7 linked regions of the Oryctolagus cuniculus genome follow. Each later gene encodes a partner of the first gene's protein in a complex. Links are inferred from orthologs where the notes say so. Each region holds a gene or a part of one and is shown in the gene's direction. Other genes may lie near its edges. The genes, in order: SF3A1, HTATSF1, SF3B4, SF3A2, SF3B2, SF3B5 and DDX46.

Evidence for each region.
Region 2: SF3A1 (region 1) and HTATSF1 share a complex: the UniProt entries of both Homo sapiens proteins name them as parts of the 17S U2 SnRNP complex. The link is inferred for Oryctolagus cuniculus from reciprocal best matches to the Homo sapiens genes SF3A1 and HTATSF1.
Region 3: SF3A1 (region 1) and SF3B4 share a complex: the UniProt entries of both Homo sapiens proteins name them as parts of the 17S U2 SnRNP complex. The link is inferred for Oryctolagus cuniculus from reciprocal best matches to the Homo sapiens genes SF3A1 and SF3B4.
Region 4: SF3A1 (region 1) and SF3A2 share a complex: the UniProt entries of both Homo sapiens proteins name them as parts of the SF3A subcomplex of the 17S U2 SnRNP complex. The link is inferred for Oryctolagus cuniculus from reciprocal best matches to the Homo sapiens genes SF3A1 and SF3A2.
Region 5: SF3A1 (region 1) and SF3B2 share a complex: the UniProt entries of both Homo sapiens proteins name them as parts of the 17S U2 SnRNP complex. The link is inferred for Oryctolagus cuniculus from reciprocal best matches to the Homo sapiens genes SF3A1 and SF3B2.
Region 6: SF3A1 (region 1) and SF3B5 share a complex: the UniProt entries of both Homo sapiens proteins name them as parts of the 17S U2 SnRNP complex. The link is inferred for Oryctolagus cuniculus from reciprocal best matches to the Homo sapiens genes SF3A1 and SF3B5.
Region 7: SF3A1 (region 1) and DDX46 share a complex: the UniProt entries of both Homo sapiens proteins name them as parts of the 17S U2 SnRNP complex. The link is inferred for Oryctolagus cuniculus from reciprocal best matches to the Homo sapiens genes SF3A1 and DDX46.

What each region holds. Positions count from the first base shown.
Region 1 is NC_091452.1:23,643,354-23,646,482, reverse strand, and holds the end of SF3A1 (splicing factor 3A subunit 1), read left to right. Parts: coding exon 1-121; intron 122-1,037; coding exon 1,038-1,139; intron 1,140-1,252; coding exon 1,253-1,324; intron 1,325-2,015; coding exon 2,016-2,117; 3' UTR 2,118-2,472; downstream 2,473-3,129. UniProt on the Homo sapiens protein: Component of the 17S U2 SnRNP complex of the spliceosome, a large ribonucleoprotein complex that removes introns from transcribed pre-mRNAs.
Region 2 is NC_091453.1:114,292,840-114,297,559, forward strand, and holds the start of HTATSF1 (17S U2 SnRNP complex component HTATSF1), read left to right. Parts: upstream 1-1,819; 5' UTR 1,820-1,953; intron 1,954-2,202; 5' UTR 2,203-2,211; coding exon 2,212-2,397; intron 2,398-4,073; coding exon 4,074-4,254; intron 4,255-4,720. UniProt on the Homo sapiens protein: Component of the 17S U2 SnRNP complex of the spliceosome, a large ribonucleoprotein complex that removes introns from transcribed pre-mRNAs.
Region 3 is NC_091438.1:48,025,643-48,030,407, forward strand, and holds the start of SF3B4 (splicing factor 3B subunit 4), read left to right. Parts: upstream 1-1,564; 5' UTR 1,565-1,653; coding exon 1,654-1,687; intron 1,688-2,123; coding exon 2,124-2,252; intron 2,253-2,828; coding exon 2,829-3,371; intron 3,372-3,688; coding exon 3,689-3,895; intron 3,896-4,765. UniProt on the Homo sapiens protein: Component of the 17S U2 SnRNP complex of the spliceosome, a large ribonucleoprotein complex that removes introns from transcribed pre-mRNAs.
Region 4 is NC_091447.1:59,109,932-59,114,457, forward strand, and holds the start of SF3A2 (splicing factor 3A subunit 2), read left to right. Parts: upstream 1-1,646; 5' UTR 1,647-1,802; intron 1,803-2,426; exon of another isoform or gene 2,427-2,533; intron 2,534-2,824; 5' UTR 2,825-2,858; coding exon 2,859-2,984; intron 2,985-3,091; coding exon 3,092-3,163; intron 3,164-3,553; coding exon 3,554-3,600; intron 3,601-3,785; coding exon 3,786-3,895; intron 3,896-4,161; coding exon 4,162-4,211; intron 4,212-4,321; coding exon 4,322-4,462; intron 4,463-4,526. Other genes in the region: PLEKHJ1 (pleckstrin homology domain-containing family J member 1), read right to left, coding at 358-474, 563-626, 757-847, 921-987, 1,077-1,144, 1,223-1,316. UniProt on the Homo sapiens protein: Component of the 17S U2 SnRNP complex of the spliceosome, a large ribonucleoprotein complex that removes introns from transcribed pre-mRNAs.
Region 5 is NC_091432.1:5,759,433-5,763,495, reverse strand, and holds part of SF3B2 (splicing factor 3B subunit 2), read left to right. Parts: intron 1-205; coding exon 206-302; intron 303-512; coding exon 513-604; intron 605-995; coding exon 996-1,211; intron 1,212-1,319; coding exon 1,320-1,457; intron 1,458-1,598; coding exon 1,599-1,679; intron 1,680-1,821; coding exon 1,822-2,049; intron 2,050-2,481; coding exon 2,482-2,631; intron 2,632-3,669; coding exon 3,670-3,759; intron 3,760-3,850; coding exon 3,851-3,958; intron 3,959-4,063. UniProt on the Homo sapiens protein: Component of the 17S U2 SnRNP complex of the spliceosome, a large ribonucleoprotein complex that removes introns from transcribed pre-mRNAs.
Region 6 is NC_091436.1:24,439,653-24,442,725, forward strand, and holds SF3B5 (splicing factor 3B subunit 5), read left to right. Parts: upstream 1-1,278; 5' UTR 1,279-1,422; coding exon 1,423-1,683; 3' UTR 1,684-2,010; downstream 2,011-3,073. UniProt on the Homo sapiens protein: Component of the 17S U2 SnRNP complex of the spliceosome, a large ribonucleoprotein complex that removes introns from transcribed pre-mRNAs.
Region 7 is NC_091437.1:22,983,135-22,987,197, forward strand, and holds part of DDX46 (probable ATP-dependent RNA helicase DDX46), read left to right. Parts: intron 1-117; coding exon 118-303; intron 304-1,609; coding exon 1,610-1,753; intron 1,754-4,063. UniProt on the Homo sapiens protein: Component of the 17S U2 SnRNP complex of the spliceosome, a large ribonucleoprotein complex that removes introns from transcribed pre-mRNAs.

The sequences.
Region 1 (3,129 bases):
AGCTCCAGCCCCAATGCCCCCTGTTCACCCTCCACCTCCCATGGAGGATGAGCCTGCCTCCAAGAAACTCAAGACAGAGGACAGTCTCATGTCCGAGGAGGAGTTCCTGCGCAGGAACAAGGTATGTGACCCCTGGGTGCTACCTGTGGCCTGGGGTGTCTAGGGGAGGGGCTGCAGTCTCACCCTAGTCACATGGTGCCCGGCTGACCTCATTCCACTCCCGTGGTGGTGGCCTCCAGGGTCTGGGTTAGCCACTGGAAGCTTTTGACTGATGGGACGCCCAGTAAATGTGGGTTAACACCTAGAGGAGCTGAGTGTGACAGTGTTGGTGGTCCCCTGGTGTGGCATCTCTGGAGGCCATAGGGAGAGCCACTGCACAGGGGCACAGCTCGGTGAGAGGGCCCTGGACACCTGAAGCAAGCCCGGGTGTGGTTCATGAACTCAGTGTGGCCTTTCCTGCAGTCCTCGCCCTTGCTGGGGTGCTAGAGTAAAGGAAGGTGGGAACCGTGGTGCTGCTGCACCCCAGGGAAGCTGCTGGGCTCCAGTGAGGAGGCGAGAAACAGCCGCAGCCCCTGACGGCTCAGTGCGTTTGACCAAATCTTCTGTTTTCGTTCTTAAGAGAGTCCTGTTTTGGGCACTTAGCGAAGTGCAAGGGTGGAGCTCACCTTGGGACACTTTTCCGTGTGGGGCTCACCGCAGGGCTCTGCTGTCGCTCTGATCAGCTCTGTTGTACAGGCAGGCTGAGACCTTATGAGCCGAGTTGGGAATCAGGTCTGGATTTTACAGGCCACTTTTTTTTACACTTGTGCTTCTTGGGTGTCACAGAGCATTTTTACCCAACCTCTTCATTTCAGCTCTAGACTCGCAGGAGGACTTGAAAACAGAAAGCACATCTTGATATGGGAGTGTGACTTGTACAATATGACAAGTGTGTCAGTAGAGAATCAGGCCAGAGCCAGGTGCCCTCAGGATGGCAGAACATAGTTCCTGATTGGCTCAGGGGTCCCCAGGCATAATGATCCCCTTCTGTTTTGCAGGGTCCAGTGTCCATCAAAGTCCAGGTGCCCAACATGCAGGATAAGACGGAATGGAAGCTGAATGGGCAGGTGCTGGTCTTCACCCTGCCTCTCACAGACCAGGTAGGGGTTGCTGCCACCAGCGGTATCACGTGCATGGGGACCAAGGGTTCAAGGGACAGCTTCCTTCTGCTGGCCTTTGCAAGGGCACGAATGACCTCTCCTTGGCCCCACAGGTCTCTGTCATCAAAGTGAAGATTCACGAAGCTACAGGCATGCCTGCAGGGAAACAGAAACTGCAGTACGAGGTGCGTCAGAGCGTGCCAGTCCCTTCCCTTAGGTCCCAACACTGCTGTGCCAGAAGCTAAGTCCCCCATGCACAGGGAGATGGGCAGTGATCCTCTGAGTTGTCCCAGAAGTGAAGGTGCTGGCGGGGGTGCCAGAGCTGGAGAGCGTGCCAGTGTGAGGCTCCGGCAGTCCATCTTGTGTGGAGTCCAGGGAACCCTCTGCCCCGAGCACTGGGGACAGGATCTGGGGGTGTGCCTCGGGAGTGCTGTGCTAGGTCATGGACCCAGAGCTGAGGCCATCCCAGCCAGGGCGACCTCAGGTGGTGTAGTCCAGCCTTGCCTGCTTCCTGGTGGGTCACATAGTCGTGCTGTGTTCACCCTTTTGGACTTGACCAAATCCCGCCTTGGGCTTCAGTTTCCTCCTGCAAAGCGAGGCTGTTGCTCAGGTGATCTCCAAAGGTCTCCATGGCCTTGGTCGGGCAGTTTCTTGGGAAGTTGAGCTTTGAGCCAAACATTGACAAAGGGGAAGAGCGTCCATCAGTTGATTGGAAGGAAGGAAAAAGCATTTTGGGTAGAGCCAGAGCCCTTCAGTCCCTTGTCCCCCGCCTTCCCTCAAGCCCTCATGTTTGCTAGGTGTGCCATGCAGATGGACAGGCCACGTTGTGTGTCCAAGGCCAGGGACCTCACGCCAAGGCGCACTGTCTCTTTCCAGGGCATCTTCATCAAGGATTCCAACTCGCTGGCTTACTACAACATGGCCAATGGCGCCATCATCCACCTGGCCCTCAAGGAGAGAGGCGGCAGGAAGAAGTAGAAGAGAGAAACCTGCTGTCAGGTCCCTGCTGTTTTGTGTCTCCTGTCCCCCACTCCAGTCCTAGACACACAGGCCCTCTCTGGACATTCAGAATGTCCTGCCGCATTTCATTCCCCGGACTCCTTCCCATGTTAGTAATAGTAGCAAGACTTTTGAAGCTACTCCCTGGGATCCCATTGTGTTAGGGTCTTGATTTGAAGGCACTCGTTAGTTGGAGCTGAGATCCAGGGATGGCGTACAGGATAGGTGCATTGTGCCAAGAGGCACTTGACTGATTGAGTATGGCTTTTATGGTCGTTAATGAGTTTCGTATTTTGCTGTGGTCTAATAAACTTCTTGGATCTTTCTTGTGAAATCGGTGTAATGAGACTTGTCTCTTGGCCCGCGTGCCCTGTGCACACTCCAGGCAGTGGGAACTTGGCACAGCGCCACGTGGCTCCTCTCTGCTCTAAGGATTCCCAGGGTTTATAACTTACCACCATCATATCTTTCGTGTAATAGAATCTCCTTATGCTTTTCAGAAGTGTTTTATTGTGTTGTCCTTGGAAAACACTGGAGTCCTACAAAGGTGTAGCCCAGTGTGCTTAACCGATTCACACAGGATGCCTTCGGCATGCCATGGCCCACAGAACAAGGATGGTGATGTGGCTCTTGGTCCATGGGGAGCAGTGACACATGCAGGCCAGGGTCACCCATCACCTGACTGATTCTGTGACCCTGGGTAAGTGCCTTGCCTGGTGAGAGCACAGGGATATGGAGAGATTTCTTTAAAATGTATTTATTTATTCAGAAGTCAGGGCAACAGGGAGAGAAAGAAATCTTTCATTGGCTGGTTCACTCCCCAAAATGGCCACAACAGCCATGTCTGGGCCAGACTGAAGCCAGGAGCTAGGAACTCCATCCAGTTCTTCCACATGGTTGGCAGGGGCCCAATTTGAGTCATCATCTGGTGCCTTCCCAGGCTCATTAGCAGGAAGCTGGATTGGAAGCAGAGTGGCCGAGACTTTAACTG
Region 2 (4,720 bases), on another chromosome or scaffold:
CACTCAAACTTCCTGGGAGGGGCTCTCATTGGCTCAGTTAGTGAAACCCAATCTAGAATGCAGAGCTCCCCTGCTAGGTCACCTACAGGCCTCTGGGCAGTCTTTGGACTAGGGTGGTTGGGTGATATGGAACTTATGCATGCATAAGGAACCTTTTTGGTCACCTGATCAGGAAGGGGCTGTGGATACAGCAAGCACTTAAGGAGTGTCATTTGCAGTAGGCTGGTGTAGCATTATCACCTATGCTGTGGACTCACTCAGGAATGAAACGGGAGCCCAATAACACATTGCTGAAAACAACTGTATACTATTTTTGGATCCAAGAAGATATACTTAGCAATGTTTAAATGAGCCCAATAAAACTCACATTATCTATATTATGAAAATGCCTGCAAGTTCAGTTCTCCAATAGTTCTGACCAGAACAAGAATGTAATGAAACAGAAATGTACTTAAAACAAAAATATAAACAAATACAAACCCAAACTACTATTTCAAAAACTATGGTTATGGTTGAAACATGGATTCACACAGTTGGCATGTGAGGAGCCAGGATTTTCTAGAATTCATACTCAGCTGCTAAGTTTCGAAGCAAATGTCACTGGAATAGTAGAAATAATTTTTTCTGAGGAGCTTTTCTCCATCCTCAATGAACACCTAACGGGCTGTCATTTTTAAATGGACTAATAAATACTCATTAAAATGACTGTTTTGGAAATAATGGTAAATATAAACCATATAAACAAAAACTCTTTGGACTCTTCAGTATTTTGGGGGAGTAAAGCGATCCTGTGATCAGAAAGTTTGAGAACCACTGTCTCTGGCACCCCATACCTCTCCTGTCAGATTTATTAGCCTTCCTGAGCCTGTTTCCCACGAGCTGTGCCCATCTTGTTGACTGTTGAGTCACCAGAGCCTAGTACATTGCCTGACACTTACTAGTTCAATAACTGTTATACCAAGTGACAAATATGGACTTCTTCGTTTTCAGCAAAGCAAGTAATTTGCAGGGAAAAAAAAAAGTTCTGTTTAGAACAAAAGCGTGCTGTATCTTTCTAAAGGAAAGACAAAGTTACTGGGCCAGCACAGGTTGTGTTTACACTGGGATGTTTATGTTTACGTTTCAAGTTTGGGGCTTGAGCACTTCTGAATCCTGGAGGACGAGGCAGGCAGAGTCCAACTCTTCGTCCAGAGGAAGGCATGAGACGATCAAACAGGAGTCTGAGATTAGGCAAAGGTTGATCCTTGTGCTTATCCTTGGTTTGTTCGTTCATTCAGTCACTGCACACTAGACAGCAAATCCTGCAGCAGGTGATTAGGCTACCAAGATGAGCCAGAGCCGGAGCCTATCCCAGGGCAATCAGAAACAAATAAGTAAAAGACATGACACCGAAGCAGGGAAGAGTTTTTGGGCGACGGAGACGCGACGTTTTTGCGTTTTAAGGAAGCGAGAGAAACCTGTCCTGCCGGTCCCACCCACTCCCCCAAGATGGCGCCCACTGCAAGGCAGTATTCCCACACCTTCCTTTGGGGTACCGCCCGGACTAGGTCAGCCAGGCCGAACCTTCCGAAGACCCACGGGGCCTAAGGCCCCCAAGGGACTGCATTGCCCTAAAGGACCTCATCTCGTCCACAGGAAGGGCCTGGTGGTCATCAACGCACGACAGCCGCGCATTCCTTGGCGCCCCGCCCCTCCGGACCCTGCGCCTCAGGCCTTCGTCGGCACCTTTTGACGTCATGGTAGGCGTGTCGGCGCGACACAGGACGTCACACCGCGCCCACAATGGCGACTGCGTCAGCCTGAGGAGGGCTCCGTTTGAAGTCATTTCCTGACGCTGCCGCGAGAATTGCAGTCGTCTCAGACCCGAGCGGCGGTGGCGGCGGCGCGCGTGCGCGCTCTCGCCGCGCCCTGGACCGAGCGGCGGCGCCGCCGAGGCCCGGTGGTTCAAGCCAGGTGGGCGGTGGCGGAGCCGAGCTGAGAGGATCGGCGCGCGCGCGCGCAGTGGGCGGGCGGACAGCCGCGCGGAGCGAGGGGCGGCGCGGCGGCGAGCGGTCCCGACTTCCCGGGGATTGCTGGGGCGCCGTGGGGAGGCGGGCCGGGGGGCCGCGGGGCGGGAGCGGAGCACGGCCGACCTCCTTCTCAGATCCCCTCTCTGGCGTCATTTCGGCCTCTTCGCTCGTCTGAACCCTGCTTCTGGGCTAGGTAGGAAACATGAGCGGCAACAACTTGGGTGGGAACGACGAGTTTGATGAGCAGTTGCGAATGCAAGAATTGTACGGAGACACCAAGGAGGGTGACACCCAGAACGATCCCGGCGGAGAACCCGATTCTTTCGGGCAGCAGGCGGCTGACACCCCGTACGAGTGGGACCTAGACAAGAAGGCTTGGTTCCCCAAGGTAAGCGAGTAGCACTGGCGCCACTGCAGAGCGGGCCGCCTGGCCAGCTTCACAGAGCACTTTTACATTTGCTGTGCTCACTCAGTCAGGTCTGTGGTCCTCACCCCCCTGGATGGTGACGCTTGTTTTTGTTGTGTCTTTTGCAGAGTTGATGTGTAAAGGAACGTAAATCTTTCGAATGGGGTATTAAATGCCTTTTCCGTGCTTTATTTTGTCTGTGAAGGTCACAGTTGGCTATTCTATTGATGACTTTTTTATTGCAAAGAGGAAAAACACACAAAAAATTTTGTAGCTGATCATCTCAGATAGCCGCCCTCGCTTACCTCACTTATCGTAGGAATTCACGTTTAGCATATGTCTTCGTTTACAAAAAGTTGCTGTTTATATACTTGTGCTGAATGAACTTTGTTTGCTCCTTGCTTTCTCTGCCTGCTGCGTTTGTCCTTAGGCATTTATGTTTGAACTTTACATCCACAAGAATACAATGAGGGATGCGCAGAGTATGGTTGGAAAAGATGTGTGCATGTTAGTTTGGAGTACTGAGAAATTGTTAGATATTTTATTTCTGCTTGGAAGTAACATAACTAGTGAAACTTGGTTCTGTAAACTTTGCTGTAGAAGCACTCTGTTATTCTGAGTCTCCTGTGGAGGCCAGAAAGACTACTAATAGCACACCAAGACATGCAAACCAACAAAACACAGCGTGTCTCCATTGTGTGATTAGACTGATCTGTGAAAAAGTCTTCATTTCTACTTTTCTTTCCCATTTTATATTTGTATATATTGAAAGTTCTCCAACTTTTTAAAATTTGCTATTTTACAAAAGTACAGGTAGTGTCAGCTTGAGGCAAATTGGCTTTCTTCAGCCTTCTGAGTACTTTTAACAGTAGTCTGGTAGTGGATTAATTTATCGTTCTACATTTTTGTGTTATTGAGGCCCTTACCTCTTCAAACTTTGAGTTTTAAATTTTCCCCATTCATGTGTGTACTGAATGTTGATTGAATTGGTGTGATGCTATAAGCACTTTTCTAACATTATATAATAGTCCATTTTCCCCCCAAAACTAGTTGGATTTGCCCTGAATTGATTCTGATTCTAAATGGTGATTTCATTAGTGATAGATTTCAAATGATCATTTAGCTTTGTAATTATGAGTCTCATTCTTTGTATGCCACATCACACTTCCATTCTATGTGCTCTTTGAATTCACATATTGAATAATTAAGTGGAAATATATGTGTGCTTCTATACAGTAAAAAAAGTGGATTTTGTGGTTAGCTTATTAGTTGACTGTAGGTTGTTATCCTGTCGTATTGTTACCTGGTATTTCCTTTGTTATATGTATGTGTAGCCTTAGTCAGTAGACTGTGGAGAGGTAGTAATTTATAAATGCATCAACTAGAAAAGGGACCAACATCACTTAAAGTGCTTTATTAGTACCACAGACTTTTGTCTTGATAATTTAAGTATTTGTATCAGGTGACCATTCTTGGATTTACACTTTAATCACTACAACTACAATTATTATTCACGCAGCGTCTTCGATGGTAAGTTATATAGCCAAATAGTCTGTAATATGACACAGTTTGAAGTTTATGGGTGGAAATAACTGAATTTCTGTGCATGTGTTTGTATGTGTATGCACACACGTGCATGAACTAAATTTCTTGTTTAGATCACTGAAGATTTCATTGCTACATATCAGGCCAATTATGGCTTCTCTAATGATGGCGCATCTAGTTCTACGGCAAACATACAAGATGTCAATACTAGGATTGCTGAGGAACCTCCACAAAGAAAAACTCCTGAACCCACTGATCCCAGAAAGAAGGGAGAAAAAAGAAAATCCGAGTCAGGCAAGTAGTTCTAGCTTGCAGAATATGAGTGTAAAAACTTAAAAGTGTGAATGTATACATAGAGTTACTTTTTGGAGATTTATAATAGCTTTGAACAAATGGCAAGATTTTTTTATTTAAATAATGGCAGATTCATAATTACCTGATTTGATTAGTTTATGCTCTATTTGTATATTGAAAAATTTTACTATAGCCCATGAAAATGTTTAAGTAGGGATCGGTATTGTGGTGCAGCAGGTTAAGCTGCCACTGGGAACCCGGCACCCCATATCAGAGTGTCAGTTTAAGTTGTGGCTCCTCAGCTTCTGATTCAGCTTCCTGTATCTGTATTCTGGAGGGGAGCAGATGACGGATCAAGTCCTTGGGCCCCTGCTACCCATGTGGGACACTAGGAGGAATTCTGGACTCCTGTTTTTGGCCTGACCCAGCCCAACCTTGTTTGTGGACATTTCAAGAATGAAACAAC
Region 3 (4,765 bases), on another chromosome or scaffold:
CTTAGAAGCAGGGGTCTAGAGCTGCAATGACGTTTCTCTCTGTCCCTATTGGCACCCTTCCCAGATGGGCCTCTCAGCTCTCACAGTCTCTGGCCTCCAGGATGAACTATCCCATCTTCAGGAACTATTAAGGAAGTGGACACCAAGAGCGTTTCCTGGTGATCACTCCAAGAAAAGAGATCCAAGTACCATTCTCTCTCATTCCTGCTGAAATTGCTGGCATTCTCAAAGAGCAGCGGGGGATCTGGGTTGAGGGAGAGTCCTAATACTGCAGTGTTTTGTATATGGCCTTGTTGCCTCAGCTTTCACACTCCAGCTCTTAAGCAAACTCACTTAGAATTGAGTTTGTTGTGGACGGTGGTGCTAATCTTTAATTCTTGTCCTTTTATTTGGTTCCTGAAGCTGTTGTTTCCTGGGAGTTGAAGAATTAAGAAACAAAACAATCCACAATGTAATTGCTTTATAGATAGCCAGCTATTTAAGTTGTGACACCAGAGACGCTGTTCACCAGTTCCAACAGTATGGCCTAAAGACCTCATTCTTGCCCCTTCTTGCTGCCTATTTTAATTCCAATTTCTGTTTCTTCCTGTATAGTTTCTTTTGGAAACAAAGTGGATATGAAACACACCCTCTCTTCCAACTGTACATTTTTGTAGTGGCATTTCTATTTAAGTTCATTAAAGCACAATATTTATACACATTGCTGGCACTGATTCTTGGATTTGAATGAAGGATCCTAGATAGCAAAGACTTGAGAAAAGGTCCCCATCGTATGATTTCTAAGAAAGGAATGGATTTGGACCACGTGAGGCTCAGAATTCTCATCTCCCATTTAGAGGCAGACAGCCAAGAGCATATTATGACGTTGCTGGGGCCAGAAAGTGCTCTTGGAGTTGCAGCTTTGGTCACACTCCATCCGGGGAGCCTCAGATTCTGCTCACACTCCGGCTCAGACATTACCTCGAGCCAGCCAGAGGCATGAGGCCAAAACTAAGACGCTTGTGGAGCAGAGTCCTTAGGTTGAGGGGTCCCTGAGAACCTTTTCCTTTGGGTGACAAAAGGATCAGCTGGCTACAAAATACACGAAGAGTTACTATTTTTAGCTTGAAAGAGAGGAACAGACAACTTCCATCCGCTGGTTCACTCCCCCAAATGCCTCTAACAGTCGGGGCCATGCCAGACGCAGACCGGGAGCGGGGAACAATCCAGGTCTCCGACATGGGTGGCAGGGACCAAACTTGGGGTTTCTGCTGCCTCCCAAGGTGTGCATTTACAGGAAGCTCGAGTCGGGGGAAACCGGGGCTCGGACCCTGTAATTCTTGACTGAGGATGCTGTGGCTTAACCGCTGTGCCAAACGCCCGCACCGGTGGGAGACGTCTGGCACTGCTTTCAGAGGGCCTGCGCTTTCCTGCCCCGCCCTCCTCGCTACGACCGCTCGCCCCGGAACCTCGGCGCAAATCCAAACGCCTCTGAACCGGGACGCCACAGCACCGTCAAGTCCCGCGGGATCCTAAGATGGCCGCAGCCGCTTCCGGCCCCGCCCCCGTCCGGGCCCCGCCCAGCGTCACGTAAGTCTTCGCCCCGGAAGTGGAAGTAGTGACCGCGGCCAGAGGGCGGAGCCGCTGCTTGGAGGCGGCGGGATTCTTTTCGCCATGGCTGCCGGGCCGATCTCCGAGCGGAACCAGGGTGACTGGGCGGGGAGACGAGTCCGGAATGGGCCCGGGAGGGTGGGAAGCCCCAGCTAAGGCCAGTAGCGTCTCCAAGGCGGGAAACTGGACCCCCGTCCCCCGGAGGGCGCGAGACTCGCTTCCGTGGCTGGTGCGGGCGGGTTGGCCGGGTGCAGGCTGAGGCCTGGACGTGTGATGTTTCGTGCAGTCCCCCTGCTGCCTTTTCTGAGTGGGACGGAATTTGCAGCAGACACTAAAGTGAACTTCAGAAGGGGCTCTAGGTCCTGCGAAGAGGACGATTTAGGGCTTATTTGGATGCTTTCCACCTCCCCCTTTTCGCTTCTGTCCCACATCCCCGCCTGCAGTTCCTCTAACTGGGTTCCATCTTTATGTCCCGGTCAGCTCCTTTCCTGTCATATTCGTCCCCATCCTAAATTCCTGCATCCTCCCTCCAGATGCTACTGTGTACGTGGGGGGCCTGGACGAGAAGGTTAGCGAACCTCTGCTGTGGGAGCTCTTCCTGCAGGCAGGACCGGTGGTCAACACTCACATGCCGAAGGACAGAGTCACTGGCCAGCACCAAGGTGAGTCCGCGCCAAGAGGCCACTTTATGTATCTGACAGCTGCTCCTGAGGGTCCCAGCGGTATTTATACTTGTTTCAGAATGAGCGACCAGAAGATTGCTTCCTCTTCTTTTCTCTTTTTTAAAGATTTATCTATTTACTTGGGAGGCAGAGTTACAGACAGAGAGAGGGAGAGACAGAGAGAGGCCTTCCATCCACTGATTCACTCCCCAAATGGCCGCACTGGCCGGAGCTGGGCCAGTCTGAAGCCAGGAGCTTCTTCAGGTCTCCCACCCTGGTGCAGAGACCCAGAGACTTGGGCCATCTTCTCCTGCTTTCCCAGGCCATCAGCAGGGAGCTGGATCAGAAGTAGGGTAGCTGGGACTTGAGCTGGCGCCCATATGGGATGCTGGTGCTGCAGGCAGATGCCCAACCCACTGTGCCTCAGCACCGGCCCCAGATTGCTTTCTCTTAATCCTCAGTTCACAGTTTGTTTCTAAAATCATTTTCTTGTTCTTTGTGATTGGAGGGTGGGTGAGTTTTACCCAGTTTCGGGTATCTTCGCTCTAGTTGCTAATCTCCTCTCTGCCTGCTTAGGCTATGGCTTTGTGGAATTCTTGAGTGAAGAAGATGCTGACTATGCCATTAAGATCATGAACATGATCAAACTCTATGGGAAGCCAATACGAGTGAACAAGGCATCAGCTCACAACAAAAACCTGGATGTCGGGGCCAACATTTTCATCGGGAACCTGGACCCGGAGATTGACGAGAAGCTGCTTTACGATACTTTTAGCGCCTTTGGGGTCATCTTACAAACCCCCAAGATCATGCGGGACCCTGACACAGGCAACTCCAAAGGTTATGCCTTTATTAATTTTGCTTCATTTGATGCCTCGGATGCAGCAATTGAGGCCATGAATGGGCAGTACCTCTGTAACCGCCCCATCACCGTGTCTTATGCCTTCAAGAAGGACTCCAAGGGTGAGCGCCATGGCTCCGCAGCTGAACGACTTCTGGCAGCCCAGAACCCACTCTCCCAGGCTGATCGCCCACATCAGCTGTTTGCAGATGCACCCCCTCCACCCTCTGCTCCCAACCCTGTGGTATCATCACTGGGGTCTGGGCTTCCTCCACCAGGTAAAGCTTTTGGTTCGCAAATACGTTTGTCTTGGGGCTGCAGTGAGGAGAACAAAGAACCTGGAAAGGGAAGATCTCCTGAGTCAGTGGGTGATGAGAAGGGAGTTAGGAGGTGGTGGGTGGGAGGGGTGTGAAGAACTCTGTCGGGCTTCTCCAGGGAGGTAGGATTATTTGAGTAGTGCAACATGGCTTGTGACCTTAGAGCACTGGGAGGAGGGGGCAAGAACTCACCCTGCATAGACAGGTCAAACTGGGACAGGTTCTTTAAAGGCATTCTTTGCCCACCGCCATTAATCCTTCTTCTGATTTCTATATAGGCATGCCTCCTCCTGGCTCTTTCCCACCCCCAGTGCCGCCTCCTGGAGCCCTCCCACCTGGAATACCTCCAGCCATGCCCCCCCCACCAATGCCTCCTGGGGCTGGAGGACATGGCCCTCCATCAGCAGGCACCCCGGGGGCTGGACATCCTGGTCATGGACACTCACATCCTCACCCCTTCCCACCAGGTGGCATGCCCCATCCAGGTAGGTGTTCTTGGCTGGGAAAGGGAGGGATGTGCGTGAACGAACAAAATGCTCTCTTTAGTTTACTACTTACCACCTGTCCTGTTGTGTAAGTCTTTCTGCAGAGTAGCCTATACTTGCTGTTTGTTTGTTCCCTGTTGTTTCCCTTCTCTCTGACTCAACCCCAGAGCAGTGGTCTAGGGGATACTTCGACTTCTTAGATGGTTTGCCCTCTGCTGTATTTGAAACTAGCTGTGTACTCCTGTTTGAAATTCTTGTCTGTTTTTTTCATCTGTTTTTTGGATTCTCCACCTGACACCTCAGTTTCAGTCAATTTGATAAACTGATTTTTCTCTGGGTCTAGATTAAGTATACACTGATGTCTCCTAGTCTGTATCTCTAGTTCATGATTATTAACAATCTAAATCCATAATCCTGTTGCTCAGTGGACAGATCCACTTTTGTACCTCTCCCCTTCAGACCTTTCTCTTTTTAAAAAAATACGTGTAGGGGCCAGCGCTGTGGCACAGCAGGTTAACACCCTGGCCTGAAGCTCCGGCATCCCATATAGGTGCTGGTTCTAGTCCCGGCTGCTCCTCTTCCAATACAGCTCTCTGCTATGGCCTGGGAAAGCAGTGGAAGATGGCCCAAGTCCTTGGGCTCTTGTACCCGCGTGGGAGACCCGGAGGAGGCTCCTGGCTCCTGGCTTCGGATCGGCACAGCTCTGGCCATTGCAGCCTATTGAGGAGTGAACCATCAGATGGAAGACCTTTCTCTTTCTCTGCCTCTTTTCTCTCTGTGAATAAAAAGAAAAAAAAGAAAAAAAAAAACAAAAAAAACCTAGGGAGTCCAAATGGATTGTGCGCTCACCTTTGCCTCTCTACTGAGCCG
Region 4 (4,526 bases), on another chromosome or scaffold:
TGCACTTTGTGGTCCCACCTGCAGCCGCTGTTAATAAAGAGACATTTTCACTTGAACCTGCCCAGTGCTGCTTCCTGGGGGCGGGGCCGCTGGACGCGGGGGTGGGCGCTGCAGGCTCCCGCCCCTCCCCGCAGGAAGTCCACCACCACCGGGATTGGAAAAGGAGGCCCCTTTATTGAGCGCGGGGACCCTGGGGCTCGCCCCGGCCCGTTCACAGCACGGTCTAGCTCCGCTCTACATTCAGCCGGTCCAGGACGGCCGGTGCCGCGGGGAGGGGCCTCGCAGGGCGGGGACCCCCAGAGGGCAGCCCCCGCCTCCGCCAGGAACCCCTCCCACGCAGGCTCGGCCGGGCCGGGGTCAGTCCAGCGCGTCCAGCCCGGGCCCGGGCCCGGTGCCCGCCGGCCGCCCGTCGCTGGGCGGGCTGCTGATCTGGAAGCGGGCCTCCGCGGAGATCCCGAACTGCTCCAGGGGGTCCTAGGGCGGCGGGCGGGGAGACGCGGTGACCCGGGGCCCGGGGCCGGGAGCCCCGCCCGCCCGGCCGCCCCGCACGCGCCCCCCGCACCTTGCCCGTCATCTTCTGGATCTCATTCCGGTAGAAGATGAGGCTCCTCCGCATGACCTCGTAGCTGCGGGAGAGGCCGTGCCCGCGGGGTCAGGCCGCCGCCCCCGCCGCGCCCGCCGCGCCCGCCGCCCCCGTCGCGCCCGCCGCGCCCGCCGCGCCCGCCGCCCCCGCCGCCCCCGCCGCCCCGGCCCCACCTGGCCCTGCGCAGCGCCTCCGTCCACTGCCGGCACTGCTCCTCGCTGCCGCACTCGAACACGTACTTCCTCTCCGGGTCCTCCAGGAAGCCTGCGGGAGCGGCCGCTGTGGGTGCCCGCGCCCGCCCCGCGCCCGCGCCGCCCCGCCCGGCCCGCGCACTCACCGATGGAGAAGCTCCGCGCCTCCTCCTGGGCGACCCGGCAGCGCTCCAGCAAGAGGGCTCCGACGGGCTGCGGGCACACGCGCCGTGAGCGGGGCCGCCCCGCGCCCGCGCGCCCCGCGCCGCGCCCCGCCCCCGCGCCCCGCGCCCCGCGCCCACCTCGGCCTCGTCCGTGCGGAAGTAGAAGAGGAAGTTCACCACCAGCTTCACCAGGCGCCGCTTCAGCACTGCGGGCACACAGCGGGCTCAGGGCGGCCGCGCGCCCCCGCGCCCCCGCGCCCCCGCCCGCGCCCGCGCCCGCTCACCGCTGCCCTTCTTGGGGCCCCGCATGCCCAGCTCAGCCGCCATCTCGGCCGGCTGCCGGGACAGCGCCTGCAGCTCCTTCTCGTTGTAGCGCATGGCGCCGGCGCTGCCCGGGACCGGGAACGCGCGCTGCTAGCTCTGAGCCCTCTCGGCCGCCGTCCCCGCTCGCGCCAGAAAGATCCCAGGTCGGAGCCCCGGAAGCGCCATTGCGCCTGCGCGCCACGGGCGAGTCTTGCGCGCTGCGACCGCGGCGTGCTGGGGCGTGGGTACACGCCGGGCAGCCGCGACACAGCCGCGGAATAAAGTGGGTCTGAGGCGCAAGCAGGATCGAAGGACCGCCGAGCGCGGGCGGACGGGGCGTTACCGGTTCCCGCCCCCGCCCCCAAGAGCCGACGCGGGTGCGCGCGCGGAGCGCGTTGTGCGCAGGCGCGCCTCGGGCACGCGCATGCGCACACTCGAGGGCCCGTCCTCCCTCCGGAAGTGCTGCGAGCGCCCGCGCCGCGCGTGCGCACTGCGACGTCGTGGCGGCGGCTCCTGAGGCGGACGGCGGAGGCCTGCGACGCGGGGCGCGACCCACACGAAGTAGGCGCGGGGGCCATCGGGGCCCCGGGGCGCCCAGGGTGGGCTGGGGGCGCGGGAGGGAGGGGCCGGGGCGGGCGGCGGGCCCCACGGCGACCCCGGCCCTCCGGAACTCCGCGGCGGGCGTCGCGGGGGTCGCGGGGGTCTCGCGTCCGTCCGGGGCGGGCTCCGGGGTCCGGGGAGCGGCCGCGGGCCTTCGGCTGCTCGGCGGGGCGGGCCCGGGCCGCGGGGCCGCGCGCGGGGGTGCGTGCCGGCGTTCCCGCCAAAAGCCGCCGGGACCCCCGAGGCCGCCCCCGCTGGCGCCTTTGTCGTCGTGGGGGTCGGTCGCGGGCGCCCGGGGGGCTGCGGGGCGTCCCGGGTGCGGACGGCGATGCGGCTGCGTCTTAGATTTCCCTCCCGCAAGCCTGCGTGCCCGGGGCCGCGTCTTCCCCTCGGTCCGCTGTCCGACTGTCCCTTCGCGTGGTTCCCCCTCCCCCAGCCCTGAGGTCCTGGGTTCGCGTCCCGATGGAGGGGCTGTGGGGCCGCCAGGGCTCGTGCGTGGACCGCGGGCGGGCCCGGGTCGCCCTGGGGTCAGCCGGGGGCGGCTCGTGCGTGGACCGCGGGCGGGCCCGGTAGCGCCCTGGGGTCAGCCGGGCCGCCCGCGCCGTGCCCGGAAGTCGGGGTCGCAGGGGCGGGGTCTCCTCCCGCCGGTCCAGTCCCCGGAGGCCGGGCCGGGCCGGGCCGGGTCAGAGCAGGTGCGGGGCCCGGGCCGGCAGCCAGGACTCGGGCCAGTGCCCGAATGGGGCCCGAGCGGCCCCTGCCGTCCACGGGGAGGCCCAGCCCTGGCTTAGGGGCATTGGGGAGTGGACGGCGGGGGGGCGCCAGGCGGTCGTCCGCGCCCCCGTTCTCCCCGACGCCCGCGGCTGGGCCCGGCGGCTGACACGGGAGAGCCCGCGTGGGTGCGCCCGGGAGGGGCTGGGGGCTGCCTCCTGGGGTCTCCGGCCCCCGCCGCGTCCTGAGGGCCCCCCCCGGTCTGGGCTCCGCAGGCTTCTCCGGCGCTGAGGTCCGCAGGCCGGCACCATGGACTTCCAGCACCGCCCCGGCGGCAAGACCGGGAGTGGGGGCGTGGCCTCCTCCTCCGAGAGCAACCGGGACCGCCGCGAGCGCCTGCGGCAGCTGGCCCTGGAGACCATCGACATCAACAAGGTAGGGCCGCCCGCCCGCCCCCCCGCGGGGCGCCCCCGACGCCCCCGACGCGCCCGACGCCCCCGACGCCCCTGACGCCCCTGACGCCCCGCGCCGCTCTCCCCCAGGACCCCTACTTCATGAAGAACCACCTGGGCTCCTACGAGTGCAAGCTGTGCCTGACCCTGCACAACAACGAGGTACTGGCCGGCCTGGTACCCTGCCCCCGCCCCTGCCTGCCCCCGCCCCGCCCACCGGCCGGCCTGAACCCCTCGCCCCCGCCCCGCCCACCGGCCGGCCTGGCCCCCCCCCTCCACCGGCCGGCCTGATCCCCCCCCTTCCCGCCCTGTCCACTGGCCGGCCTGGTCCCCCGCTCCTGCCTGCCACCGGCCTGGCCCCGCCCCCAGCCGGCCTGATCCCCCCGCCCCCGGCCTGACCCCCGCCTGCCGCTGCCCCACCCCCCGGCCGGCTTGGTCCCCCCCTCCCGCCCTGTCCACTGTTCGGCCTGGTCCTCCCCCACCCCGCCTGCCGCTACCCCGCCCACCGGCCTGGCCCCGCCCCCGGCCTCATGTCCCGCCTCCTCCACGCAGGGCAGCTACCTCGCACACACTCAAGGGAAGAAGCATCAGACCAACTTGTGAGTGCCCCCCGCGCCCCCCGGCTGTGACACGGGGGAGGGCCCCTTGACCCGCCCCCCAGCCGCAGGGCCCCGCCCCTCACCCCCCCCGCGGGAGCCCAAGGCCGGGCAGGGGGGCTCCTGCACCTGCGCCCGTGGCCTTGGCCTGGTGTGGAGGACCACAGCGCCCGTCTGCCCCGCCCCAGGGCCCGGCGCGCAGCCAAGGAGGCCAAGGAGGCGCCCGCCCAGCCCGCGCCCGAGAAGGTCAAGGTGGAGGTGAAGAAGTTCGTGAAGATCGGACGCCCTGGCTACAAAGGTGAGGGGGCGGGGCCGCCCGACACCAGCCCTGGGCGGGGGGGGGGGGGCAGGCGGGGACAGGCGAGGCCCTGGGCAGGGAGGGGCAGGCGGGGACAGGCGAGGCCGTGGGGCTGTGGGCAGGCGGGGTCCTGGGCACGGAGGGGCAGGCGGGGCTGTGGCGTGCAGCCCTGGGCCGGCCCTCTGAGCTGGGACCTGGGCCTCACCTGCCGCCCTGGGCGGGACGTGGGGCTGCGGGGGGGCCCCTCACCGGCCCTGGTGTTGCAGTGACCAAGCAGCGGGACACGGAGATGGGCCAGCAGAGCCTGCTCTTCCAGGTGGGCGGGGCCGCGGGGTCGGGGGGGGGGCCGCGGGGGCGGGGCCGGGTGGGGGCTGCGGGGGCGGGGGGCAGTGGGGGCTGGGGGCCCCTGACACTGCCCGCCCGCAGATCGACTACCCCGAGATCGCCGAGGGCATCACCCCCCGGCACCGCTTCATGTCGGCCTACGAGCAGAGGATCGAGCCCCCGGACCGGCGCTGGCAGTACCTGCTGATGGCCGCCGAGCCCTACGAGACCATCGCCTTCAAGGTAGGGCCCCCCGCCTCCCTCGGACCCACGGCGCCCCCTCCCCGCCCCGCCCTGGGTCTCGGCA
Region 5 (4,063 bases), on another chromosome or scaffold:
TTCAGTTGTTGGGGGAGGGAGAGGTCCTGTTCAGAGCATTGTGGGGGAGGGCAGAGGCGTCGGGGGCGGGTCCGGGGCGGAGTTCTGGGGTTTCCTCTGAGTGCAGCCCGTGTCGCCCGTCTACTGCCCACGTCACCTGGCGGCAGCCTTTCACTCAGGAGGTGGGCGTTGGAGGGCAAGGGCCCTCACTGGGTGTCTCCGGCAGATGGAGGACCCCTCTGTGGGCCCCAAGATCCCCCAGGCTCTGGAGAAGATCCTGCAACTGAAGGAGAGCCGGCAGGAGGAGATGAGCGCGCAGCAGGGTGGGTGCCGGGCCTTGCGGGGCGCAGCAGGGTGGGTGCCGGGCCTGGCGGGGCGCAGCAGGGTGGGTGTCGGGCCTGGCGCGGCGCAGTGGCGGGGCCTGGCCAGCGCGACCCGTCCTCCCTCCCTGCCCCTGGGGGGCTTGGTGCACGCCTGCACTTGGTAAAGAGGTGACTGAGCAGGGCCCTGATCGCCACCCTCCCCCCTTGCAGAGGAAGAGGAGATGGAAACAGACACTCGCTCGTCCCTGGGCCATTCGGCCTCCGAGACCGAGGAGGATGCAGTGTCCACATCCAAGAAGGAGGTACGGGGCGGAGCTGGCCTAGAAGCCGGGTGTGGGCACCGGAGCAGCCCCCGGCGCGGTGTCCAGTGAGGGCTGGCCACTGTTGTGGGTTCTGTCCTGAGCCTCTCCCGGGTCTTGTTCCATCGCCTTGCGTCTCTTGGGTTCCTCGTGTCTGCTCACTGTGCTTCACGGCTAGGGGAGCTGTGCCTCGAGGGTACAGGAGCGTCGCAGGGGCACGCAGCCTGAGCGTGGAGGGCTCTGGAGTCACTCTCCCGGCCTCTGCACCACGTGCCTGGGGTCGCCCCCTGGGAGAAGCCAGCCTGAGCTGCTGGGGGAACGGTGGGGGTCAGGGCTTGGGGGTCAGACATGGTGATTGGTTTTCTCACCTGGTGGCTTTTCCTCACCGTGATAGAAAAACCGGAAGCGCCGGAACCGGAAGAAGAAGAAAAAGCCGCAGCGCGTGCGGGGGGCGCCCTCGGAGAGCTCTGGGGAGCGCGAGAAGGACTCAGGCCGGCCGCGCGGCTCGGACGCCCCGGCCGCTGACGTGGAGATCGAGTACGTGACCGAAGAGCCCGAGATTTATGAGCCCAACTTCATCTTCTTCAAGAGGATTTTTGAGGCTTTCAAGGTAGCGGGAGCGGCGCAGCCGGAGGGGCTGGGCGGGTGAGACCGGGCTGGGAGGTCTGGCCGGGGCGTGGGCCCCGCACTGGCCGTTGGCGTCCTCTGCCCCCCCCAGCTCACCGATGACGTGAAGAAGGAGAAGGAGAAGGAGCCCGAGAAGCTGGACAAGCTGGAGAACGCCGCCGCCCCCAAGAAGAAGGGCTTCGAGGAGGAGCACAAGGACAGCGACGACGACAGCAGCGACGACGAGCAGGTCGGGGCCTGGCCGGAGACGGCGCGCGGGGCCCATGGGCTGACCTCTGCCCGGGCTCTGGGAGCGCAAGTCTTGGGGTGGGCTGGGCCCTTAGATTCCGTCCGAGGGCCTTGCTCACGCGTGATGACTGTTCCGTGGCAGGAGAAGAAGCCAGAAGCGCCCAAGCTGTCCAAGAAGAAGCTGCGTCGCATGAATCGCTTCACCGTGGCTGAGCTCAAGCAGGTGAGGCCGGGAGAGCGTGGGAGGAGGCCCAGGAGGGCGCGCGGGAGGCCCGGAGACGTGGGTGTGGGTCCTCCACGGAGGAGGAGGGAGAGCCTCGGACCCGAGAGCTGCGCCCCCAGAGGGCCTCGTGTGCGTTTTGCAGCTGGTGGCCCGGCCCGACGTCGTGGAGATGCACGATGTGACGGCGCAGGACCCGAAGCTCCTGGTGCACCTGAAGGCCACTCGGAACTCGGTGCCGGTGCCGCGACACTGGTGCTTCAAGCGCAAGTACCTGCAAGGCAAGCGCGGCATCGAGAAGCCCCCCTTTGAGCTGCCGGACTTCATCAAGCGCACAGGCATCCAGGAGATGCGGGAGGCCCTGCAGGAGAAGGTGAGGGCCTTCTCCAGAACTGGAATCCAGACCCCGCCCGCGGCCGAGGGTCCCTCCTCCAGCATAGGAGTCAGCACTGCACAGCGCGGGCGGGCGGCGGAGGGGAGGGAACGGGCCAGGCAGCTCCTCGCTTCCTCCCCGGGTCCTCACCAGCGTGCGCTTTGCGGCCGCACAGTCCTAGTGCGAGGGGGTGACTTCTGGCAGGGACAGCCAGCACGTGGCTGTGGTGTGGAGGCCCGTGCAGTGCTCGGCGGGCCTGCCTCCTGATGAGCTCCGTTCCGCTTCTCTCGAGCCAAGTCGTGAGCCTGGGTTCTTGGTCACGGGGCCCAGAGCTCAGGCGGCCTCGTGTGCAGCTTACCCCATGGTGGGGTTGAATAGAGAGGGTTTGCTGACTTTCAGATGAGACAGAGGGCGTCCTCTGCTTTCTCATAGGAAGAACAGAAAACCATGAAGTCAAAGATGCGGGAGAAGGTTCGGCCCAAGATGGGCAAGATTGACATTGACTACCAGAAGCTGCACGACGCCTTCTTCAAGTGGCAGACGAAGCCGAAGCTGACCATCCATGGGGACCTGTACTATGAGGTTGGGGGGCTGGTGGCAGGGCTGGGCCTTGGAGTCATGACTGCGTAACCTTCCGGTAGAAGGTGTTAGCCCTGGGTCGGTGGTGCCACAGTCTTAGTCTCAGATGAGACGGAATCTGAAAGTTATTTTTATGTATTTTTTACAGATTTATGTTACTTACTTGAAAGAGAGTTACAGAGATGGGGAGAAACAGAGAGAGGGATCACTCTTCTCTCTGCTGGTCCACTCTCCTAATGACCTCAACACCCAAGGCTGGGCCAGGCAAAGCCAGGAGCGAGGAGCTTCTGGGTCTCCCATGTGGGTGCAGGGGCCCAAGCACTTGGGCCATCTTCTTCTGTTTTTCCCAGGCCATTAGAGAGGGCTGGATTGGAAGTGGAGCAGTCGGGTCTCGACCTGGCGCCCATATGAAATGCTGGCACTGCAGGCGGTGGCCTTACCTGTTGTGCCGCAGCACCTGTCCCGTGACTTGCACTGCTATGGAATGCTGGCATCACAGACAGCAGCTTAACCCACTCTGCCACAAGCCTGGCCCACAGCCTAGCCCTGGACTTTGAACTTTTAAAATCAGGTCATTTGGTGGGAAAATGCAGACCATGTCTTTGGAGTGGTTATAGTTAGAGTGGTGTGTTGGCGTAGGGACAGAGGGGCCAAGTGGTGGGTGATTTTCAGGAATACTTAATGTCAGAAGTGTGAGAAAAGTTTTCTTCTTTTCTGGCCTTGAAGTAGCGATCCACAGTATGGGGGTTTTGAAGGCTTTTGGGCTCATCCTGTTTAAGGCCCTCAGATGGGTGAGGAAGGTGCAGGCTGGCCACGTTGTCACCGTGGTCAGGGAGGCCCTGAGCGTCTGGCCTTGTGCTTGTTTCTTGCCCTTGCTGGGGAGCGATGTGATGAGAGTCAGGGTGGGAGCGGGCAGCGGTCCGGCGGCCTGGGATTCTGTGTCTGACGTGGTTGGGGCTTCTCTGCTCTCCTGGCCTCTCCTGCCATGGAGCTCAGTGCGTGCGTGTGTCCCCGCAATAGCAGCCTTTGCTTGATTCCCAGGGGAAGGAGTTCGAGACGCGACTGAAGGAGAAGAAGCCTGGTGACCTGTCGGACGAGCTCAGGATTTCCCTGGGGATGCCTGTGGGACCAGTGGGTGTCGGTCGGCTGGGGGGCGGGGCGGGGCGGGGGCGGCAGAGCAGCGCAGGGTAGGCAGACGCTCCCCTGTTCTCTCATGCTGCAGAACGCCCACAAGGTCCCGCCCCCGTGGCTGATCGCCATGCAGCGGTACGGACCACCCCCATCGTACCCCAACCTGAAAATCCCCGGGCTGAACTCGCCCATCCCCGAGGTGAGTGTCGTCCCTTCTCGGTCTTGGCTGCCTCTGCTTGTCTGCTTGTCTCACGGAGGGGGTTTCTGTGTCCTTCTCCTCGTCTCCACTCTGGTTATAAAACAG
Region 6 (3,073 bases), on another chromosome or scaffold:
TCCAGTGGCTAATATTGAACAGTATAAAAGAATTAAAGTTTCATATATCAATGAGGATACTGACAAGAGTAAAAGCAACTTTTACAGCATTATATATGCTACTCATAGGTTTAAACCATGCCTATCAGCTATTGTTTATGGATACACAAACTTTCAGCAATTGGAAAACAGAATGATTGACATTAAATCCAGGACAGTGTCCAAGAGATGAGGGAAGGGAACGCGGAGAACGTTTATTTGCAGAATTTATCTCTTAAAAATCAAAACAAAATCAGGACAAATACGGCAAAATGTCAAGGTTTGATACACCTAGAGGATGAAGCCAAAGATATACCTTATAAATTTTCCACACTTTAGGAATGAATTGTCAAGCTGAAAAGAGCAAAACAAAACTGCTTTTTAAAGTTCTTGCTCTCCGGGCAGCGTTCCTCTCTTTGGCTGTAGTTGTCTCTCTATCCCTCAACTGTTTTTTGGAGAACACAATCTATCAGGCTGTACGAATATCCAAAAAGGATATCCTAAGATAAGTATGGGTTTGTTTTTTCCTCAAGTATTTCTACCGCCGTGAATTTTAAACCAAAAGGTAAAACATAAAGCGAAAATCAGATGCAAAGGAGGAGCCAACCGAAGGCAGACGCGTCGCCGCGGGAACAAAGCCTTTCCCGCGGGCGCTAACGGCTCCGAAGGGGACGCGGGCGCGCGCGGCACCTGGCCGAGTGCGGGCCGGGGTCGTGGGGGTCGGCGTGGAGTCGCCGGGGGCCACCAGCCCGAGAGGCGAGACCGAAGGAGTGTGCGCCGGGGGCGCCCAAGCGACTCGGCCCCGGGGCTGTGCAGGGTCACCGAACGGGAACGGCGGCCCCGCTAGAGCGTGGGACCAGAGGTCGCGTCTGCCGACCTCAGTAAGCCACCCGATTGTGAAGGGGCTACCGTGCCGCCTCGTCAGCGCCTAATTACACCAAGGGTTTATTTTCTTGGTTGCCTGTGCCACTGGCCCACTGGCCCACTTTCTCTTAGCACCGGGCCGACAACGCATGCTCCCCGCCTCTGGGGTTCTGCCCTCCATTCAGCTCTTAAACCGCGGTCTCGGAAGAGACCACAAATCCCAGCATGCAAGACGCTACGTCAGTACAGGGCCACCCACGGACCACCAAGTGGACCATCATGCAACGCTCTCCGAGGGCGGGGGGCGGGACTCTGTTAAAGGGGCGGGACAGTTTCAGTGTCGCTAGGGCAACTCCAATACGGCTTCAAAATGTGCTTCCGCTTCCGCGTCCTCCGCCACTCCGTCGCTGTGACGCAATTTCTCTGCGACTGAGCGAGGCTGCCGGTTCCGTGTGCTGGCCTTTCTCCGGCGGGAAACCCGAGACCGGTTCCTAACCCTCGTGCGACTTCTGACTTCGGAGCGAAAGGGAAAGCGGCAAGATGACAGACCGCTACACCATCCACAGCCAGCTGGAGCACCTGCAGTCCAAGTACATCGGCACGGGCCACGCCGACACCACCAAGTGGGAGTGGCTGGTGAACCAGCACCGCGACTCCTACTGCTCCTACATGGGCCACTTCGACCTTCTCAACTACTTCGCCATCGCGGAGAATGAGAGCAAAGCGCGAGTGCGCTTCAACTTGATGGAGAAGATGCTGCAGCCTTGCGGCCCCCCCGCTGACAAGCCCGAGGAAAACTGAGACGGCGCCTCCTCCAGCGAGCCTCCCGATCGCCGGCGTTGCCCGCGCGTTCCTGTCTCCAGTGGACTGGTTCTTCCGCGACTCCTTGCTTCTCCGGCCTTCCGGGTGCAGAAGTGCTCGCCGAGGTGTCCCGCCGGTGCTGTCTTCACGTGGATCCCTCGGGACGCAGCACCAGGACCGCCGGGGCTCCCTGAGAACTGCGGGTGAAGAGGTCCGAGAGCTGGCGGGCGTTGGGGAAGACGGCACTGGAGTGAGGGGATTTGGAGGCTCGTGTTTGACTTAGTTGATTGTCGCGTTGCCTTTTTCATAAAGTTTAGAATCTGTTAAGTCTCTTGGTGTGATCTGTTTGTGTTCCAGGGGAGAAGGCTGGGGAGGACTCGGAACCAAAGGTTCTGTGCGTGTGCAAGTAGGAGAGGGTGGGTGGAGGGCACAGAACCAGCCTGCCTTGCCAGGCACTGAAATCCGCCCAGCATGCCCTTTGGGGAGCTTCAGAAAGCCCCTGGAAGGTTAAGCCTCCGCCTGCAGTGCCAGCATCCTATATGGGCAGCTGGTTGGAGGCCTGGCCCCTGCACTTCTGATCCAACTTCTTGCTAATGCTCCTGGGAAAGCAGAGAAGGGTAGCCCAAGTGCTTGGGCCACAGGCACCCATGTGGGAGACCCGAAAGAAGCTCCAGGTTTCAGTCTAACCCAGCCCTGGCCATTGCTGCCATCTGGGGAGTGAACCAGCAGATGGAAGATTCTCTTTCTCCGACTCTGTATTTCTAACTTTAAAATAAATGAAATTTTATTATTTTTTTTAATTTTTTTATTTTTGACAGGCAGAGTGGACAGTGAGAGAGAGAGACAGAGAGAAAGGTCTTCCTTTGCCGTTGGTTCACCCTCCAATGGCCGCCGCGGCCGGTGCGCTGCGGCCGGCGCACCGCACTGATCCGATGGCAGGAGCCAGGAGCCAGGTGCTTTTCCTGGTCTCCCATGGGGTGCAGGGCCCAAGCACCTGGGCCATCCTCCACTGCACTCCCTGGCCACAGCAGAGGGCTGGCTTGGAAGAGGGGCAACCGGGACAGAATCCGGCGCCCCGACCGGGACTAGAACCCAGTGTGCCGGTGCCGCTAGGCAGAGGATTAGCCTAGTGAGCCGCGGCGCCGGCAAAATAAATGAAATTTTAAAAGCCCCTAGAAAGTTCGACTTCTAATTCCATTTTTCCATCAACTTTGTGAAGCCTCCTTGTGTTCAGAACTCAGATTTACCTGAAAAAAAATTTTCAGATCCATAGTGCCTTCAGGTTTGAGGTTTTTTTTATTATTCTACCTTTTTCTTTCATTTTAAACCGCATCCCTTGGGAATTTCTGACTGTTCTTCAGAAATGACAAGCTGGCAAGCAAGTTGTTCT
Region 7 (4,063 bases), on another chromosome or scaffold:
TCCTATTGGTGTTTATTTAATTTGTCTTCTAGTATTTTTTTTTAAAAATGTAGAAATGCGATATAATGGAAGCCGACTGTGCTTGCTAGTTTAATCGTTGGCTTACTGCTGTTCTAGCCACTATCGGAAGCGATCGGCATCCCGGGGACGCTCTGGAAGTCGGTCTAGAAGTCGCTCACCTTCAGACAAAAGGAGTAAGAGAGATGACAGACGGTCTAGAAGCAGAGATAGAGATCGAAGGAGGGAGCGGTCTCGGAGCAGGGATAAAAGAAGATCCCGGTCCAGGGACAGGAAGCGTCTGAGGTAAGCGCTGGCGGAGGTGGGGCTTTCTCCGCGGCACTGGGTGTCTCACCACTGTCTCACCGCTGTCTCTGGACGGCACTCGAGTGGCTTGTTTGGCTGCTTCTTGGCAGCCCTGCCTTGCTGGATCAGACTGCAAGATCTGCCTGCAAAGACTCAAGCAGCGTTTTCAGTTTGGCTACTTCAGTTGATATTCCCTGTAACTGAAGGAGAACTTCTGAAGCTCCCAGAGATGTAAGGAATGAAGGAAGAGGGAAAAAGTGCTCTACTCGTGGGGCCTCTGCTCCGGGTCTGCCCGAGAGCTGAGTGTGCGCCCAGCGACTGCCACGGCAGACGGGAGGAGTAGCCAGGGCCTTCTGCAGACCCTCTGCTGTGCTCAGTCGTCTAGCCAGCTGTCTGCAGTCTAACCCAAAACACTCTTGCTTTCAGTTCATGTGTACGTGCTCATGTGCTCTTTTTGCACAGTCGAGTGACCATAAACTTTTCTGGAGGTGGAAAAGAGTCTTTAAGTAAAAATAATTCCCTCCCCCTGCCAGGTACACCGAAATTCTAGTACATTTTCCCATTAAAGTAGTAAAGTAATATAAGGTTGTGCGGTGTACTGTTCACAGAAACAGTTTGCCTTTTTCAGGCGTTGGAAGCAGAGTGCCTTGATACCACAGGCACTCACCCGGGACAGTGTGGGCCTTGCACATGCAGTCTCCTACTCTGTGGCCCCAGCAACAGTTTTACATAGTTCTGTCAAGTACTTGAAGTACTTGTTAGGTAAACTTGGCCATCTAACATCAGTCTTAGACTTTTTGGTCTGAAAGTAGAATCACAAGATTTTAGAGCAACAGTGATTTTAAAATTACCTAGCAAAACCCCCATATTTTCCATCAGGAAACTGGGACTCGGGAGGCTGAAGGTGTGTCCTGTGTTGTCACTGCCACTGTGAGTGGCGGCCTAGACACTCCTGCCTCCTAATCCTCACGTCAGTTATCTGTTCACAGCCTTGGTCACCCAGTTTTCTTACTTGGGTTTGGGTTGTCTTTGAAAATTAGGTTTCTGCTCTAAGATGATGGATGTTAAGTAGCTGTCACTACAGATTTGTTAGGTTTCTCATCACATGTCACTATGAAATTGGTGTACTCATTTTTTTTATTGAGTAGTTGTAAGGGTGGGTTTACTTGTTTCTTCTGATAGTTTATTAATGCCTCTGCTTTTAATAATGGTAGCAGTTTAGACGCTTCTTTTAGCATGGACGAAATCATAATCTGAAATAACATCTCCATTGGACTGTAGAGTGACAAGTGTGTCCTCCTTTTAGACGTTCCAGAAGTAGAGAGAGAGACAGAAGCCGAGAACGAAGAAGATCTCGCAGCAGAGACAGGAGACGTTCAAGGAGTAGAAGCCGGGGCCGACGGTCCCGATCCTCCAGTCCTGGCAATAAAAGCAAGAAGACTGAGAATCGGTAACATTACCACTCACGGTGTCTGCCGTGCAGGGGCAGCTGGCTCCCTTCCCCTGCTTCGTTTTTCTTTCTTTTTTTTTTTTTTTCCCCACCTTTAAATTTATTCTTATAAGCAATTACTGACTGGGCTTCACCAAGATTTGGTGGCATAATTTAATTTAAGTAGGTTATAAAGCTTGTAATTCAGTTGCAAAGTACTAGTCTCAGGTTTGTGGGTTTTTTTGTTTTTTTTGTTTGTTTGTTTGTTTGTTTGTTTTTTTGACAGGCAGAGTTAGAGAGAAAGGTCTTCCTTTTTCCGTTGGTTCACCCCTCAAGTGGCCACTATGGCTGGCACGCTGTGGCCGGCACACTGTGCCGATCTGAAGCCAGGAGCTGGGTGAACCCACGTGGGAGACCCAGAAGAAGCTCCTGGCTCCTGGCTTTGGAGTTCTGGCCAACTGGGGAGTGAACTATTGGTGGAAGACCTCTCTCTCTCTGCCTCTCTCCTCTCTCTGTGTAACTCTGACATTCAAATAAATAAATAAATCTTAAAAAAAAAAAGATCATCCCAAATTACTTTCCTGAGAGTTTGTGCTAATTATACGCCCACCATCAGTATTTGAGACTTCTTCTTTATTTTCAGCAAGTGGGTAAATGTGTGCTGCTTGTGGTTATAATTTGCGTTTCCCTAATTAGTAGTGAGAGTGATTGTTTTTAATGTTTTTCTTGTCATTTGGACTTTGTCATTTCTTAAGTACATGTTCAGCGAATCTTTCCTCATTTTCCTTTTGAGTTGTTTGTTTTCTTTTAAAATTGATAGCAATAGGGCCGGTGTTGTGGTGCAGTGGGTAAGACTGTGAAAGCTGGCATTGGTTAAGTCCTGGTTGGTCCACTTCCATTCCAGCTCCTTGGCTGTGGGAGACATTAGCGCAGTGAACCAGTAGATGAAAGATTCTCTCTCTGTAAATCTGCCTTTCAAAACCAGATAAATAAGTAATTGATCAATTGAGGGAACAGGTGCTGGACTTAGCACCTGAGACACCAGCAGGACTCACTAGTGTACCTGAGTTCTGCTGCCAGTCTGGCTCCTGCCTCTGGCTTCCTGCCAGTCAGACCCTGGGACGCGGTTGTGATGTGTACGAGACCCGCATTGCTTCCGCTCTGGCCGTAGCAGGCATGTGGGAAGTGAACCAGCACAGGAGCATGCTCGCTCGCCCTCCCTCTCATCTCTCTTCCTTTTCTGCCACCCCCCCCCCCTTTTTTTTTTTAAGGATTTACTTCTGTATTTGAGAGGTAGAGTTACAGAAAGAAAGGTCTTCCATCTGCAAGTTCACTTCCCAAATGACCACATTGGCCAGAGGTGGGCCAATCCCAAGTCAGGAGCCAGGAGCTTCTTCCAGGTCTCCCATAGCGGTGCAGGGGTCTAAGACCTTGGCCATCCTCTACTGCTTTCCCAGGCCTTTAGCAGAGAGCTGGATCAGAAGTGGAGCAGCTAGGACTTGAACTGGCATTCGTATGGGATGTTAGCATTGCAAGTGGCAGTCTGACCCACTGTGCCACAGTGCTGCACCCTTCTGCTCCCTCTCTTGATTTCTCTTTCTCTGCCTTTCAGATAAATAAAATTTGGGAGGCAGGTATTGGATGGAGCTATTAAGATTCCTCTTGTGGCACTCACATCCCATTTCACAGTACGATGGATCAAGTCCCACCTCCACTCCTGGTTCTAGCTTCCTGCTTTTGTGCATACAGGGATGCAGTAGGCGATAGCTCAGATAGTTAGAGTCCCTGTCACCCACTTGAGAGTCCTGGATTGAATTCCAGGCTCTTGGCTTTGACCTGGTCCAGTCCCAGCTGTTAAAGGCAATTGGGGAATTAAATAGCTGATAGTACATTTATGTCTTTTTGTCTCTCTAATACAGTCTGTTAGCCTTTTAATTTCTGAAATCCATGGATGGTTTTTTTCTTTCTTTTTTTTAAGATTTATTTATTTATTATTTTACTTGAAAGTCAGAGTTGCACAGAGAGAGGAGAGGCAGAGAGAAAGGGGGCAAACCCCTCCTTGCCTTCCATCTGCTGGTTCCCGCCCCAAATGGCTGCAACAGTTGAAGTTGTGCCAATCCGAAGCCAGGAGCCAGGAGCTTCTTCCAGGCCTCCCACGAGGGTGCTGGGGCCCAAGGACTTGGGTCATGTTCCACTGCTTTCCCAGACCATAGCAGAGAGCTGGATCAGAAGTGGAGCAGCTGGGTCTCGAACTGGCGCCTATATGGGTTGCCGGCACTGCAGACTGCAGTCTTATTCGCTACACCACAGCGCCAGACCCAAGTAAAATTT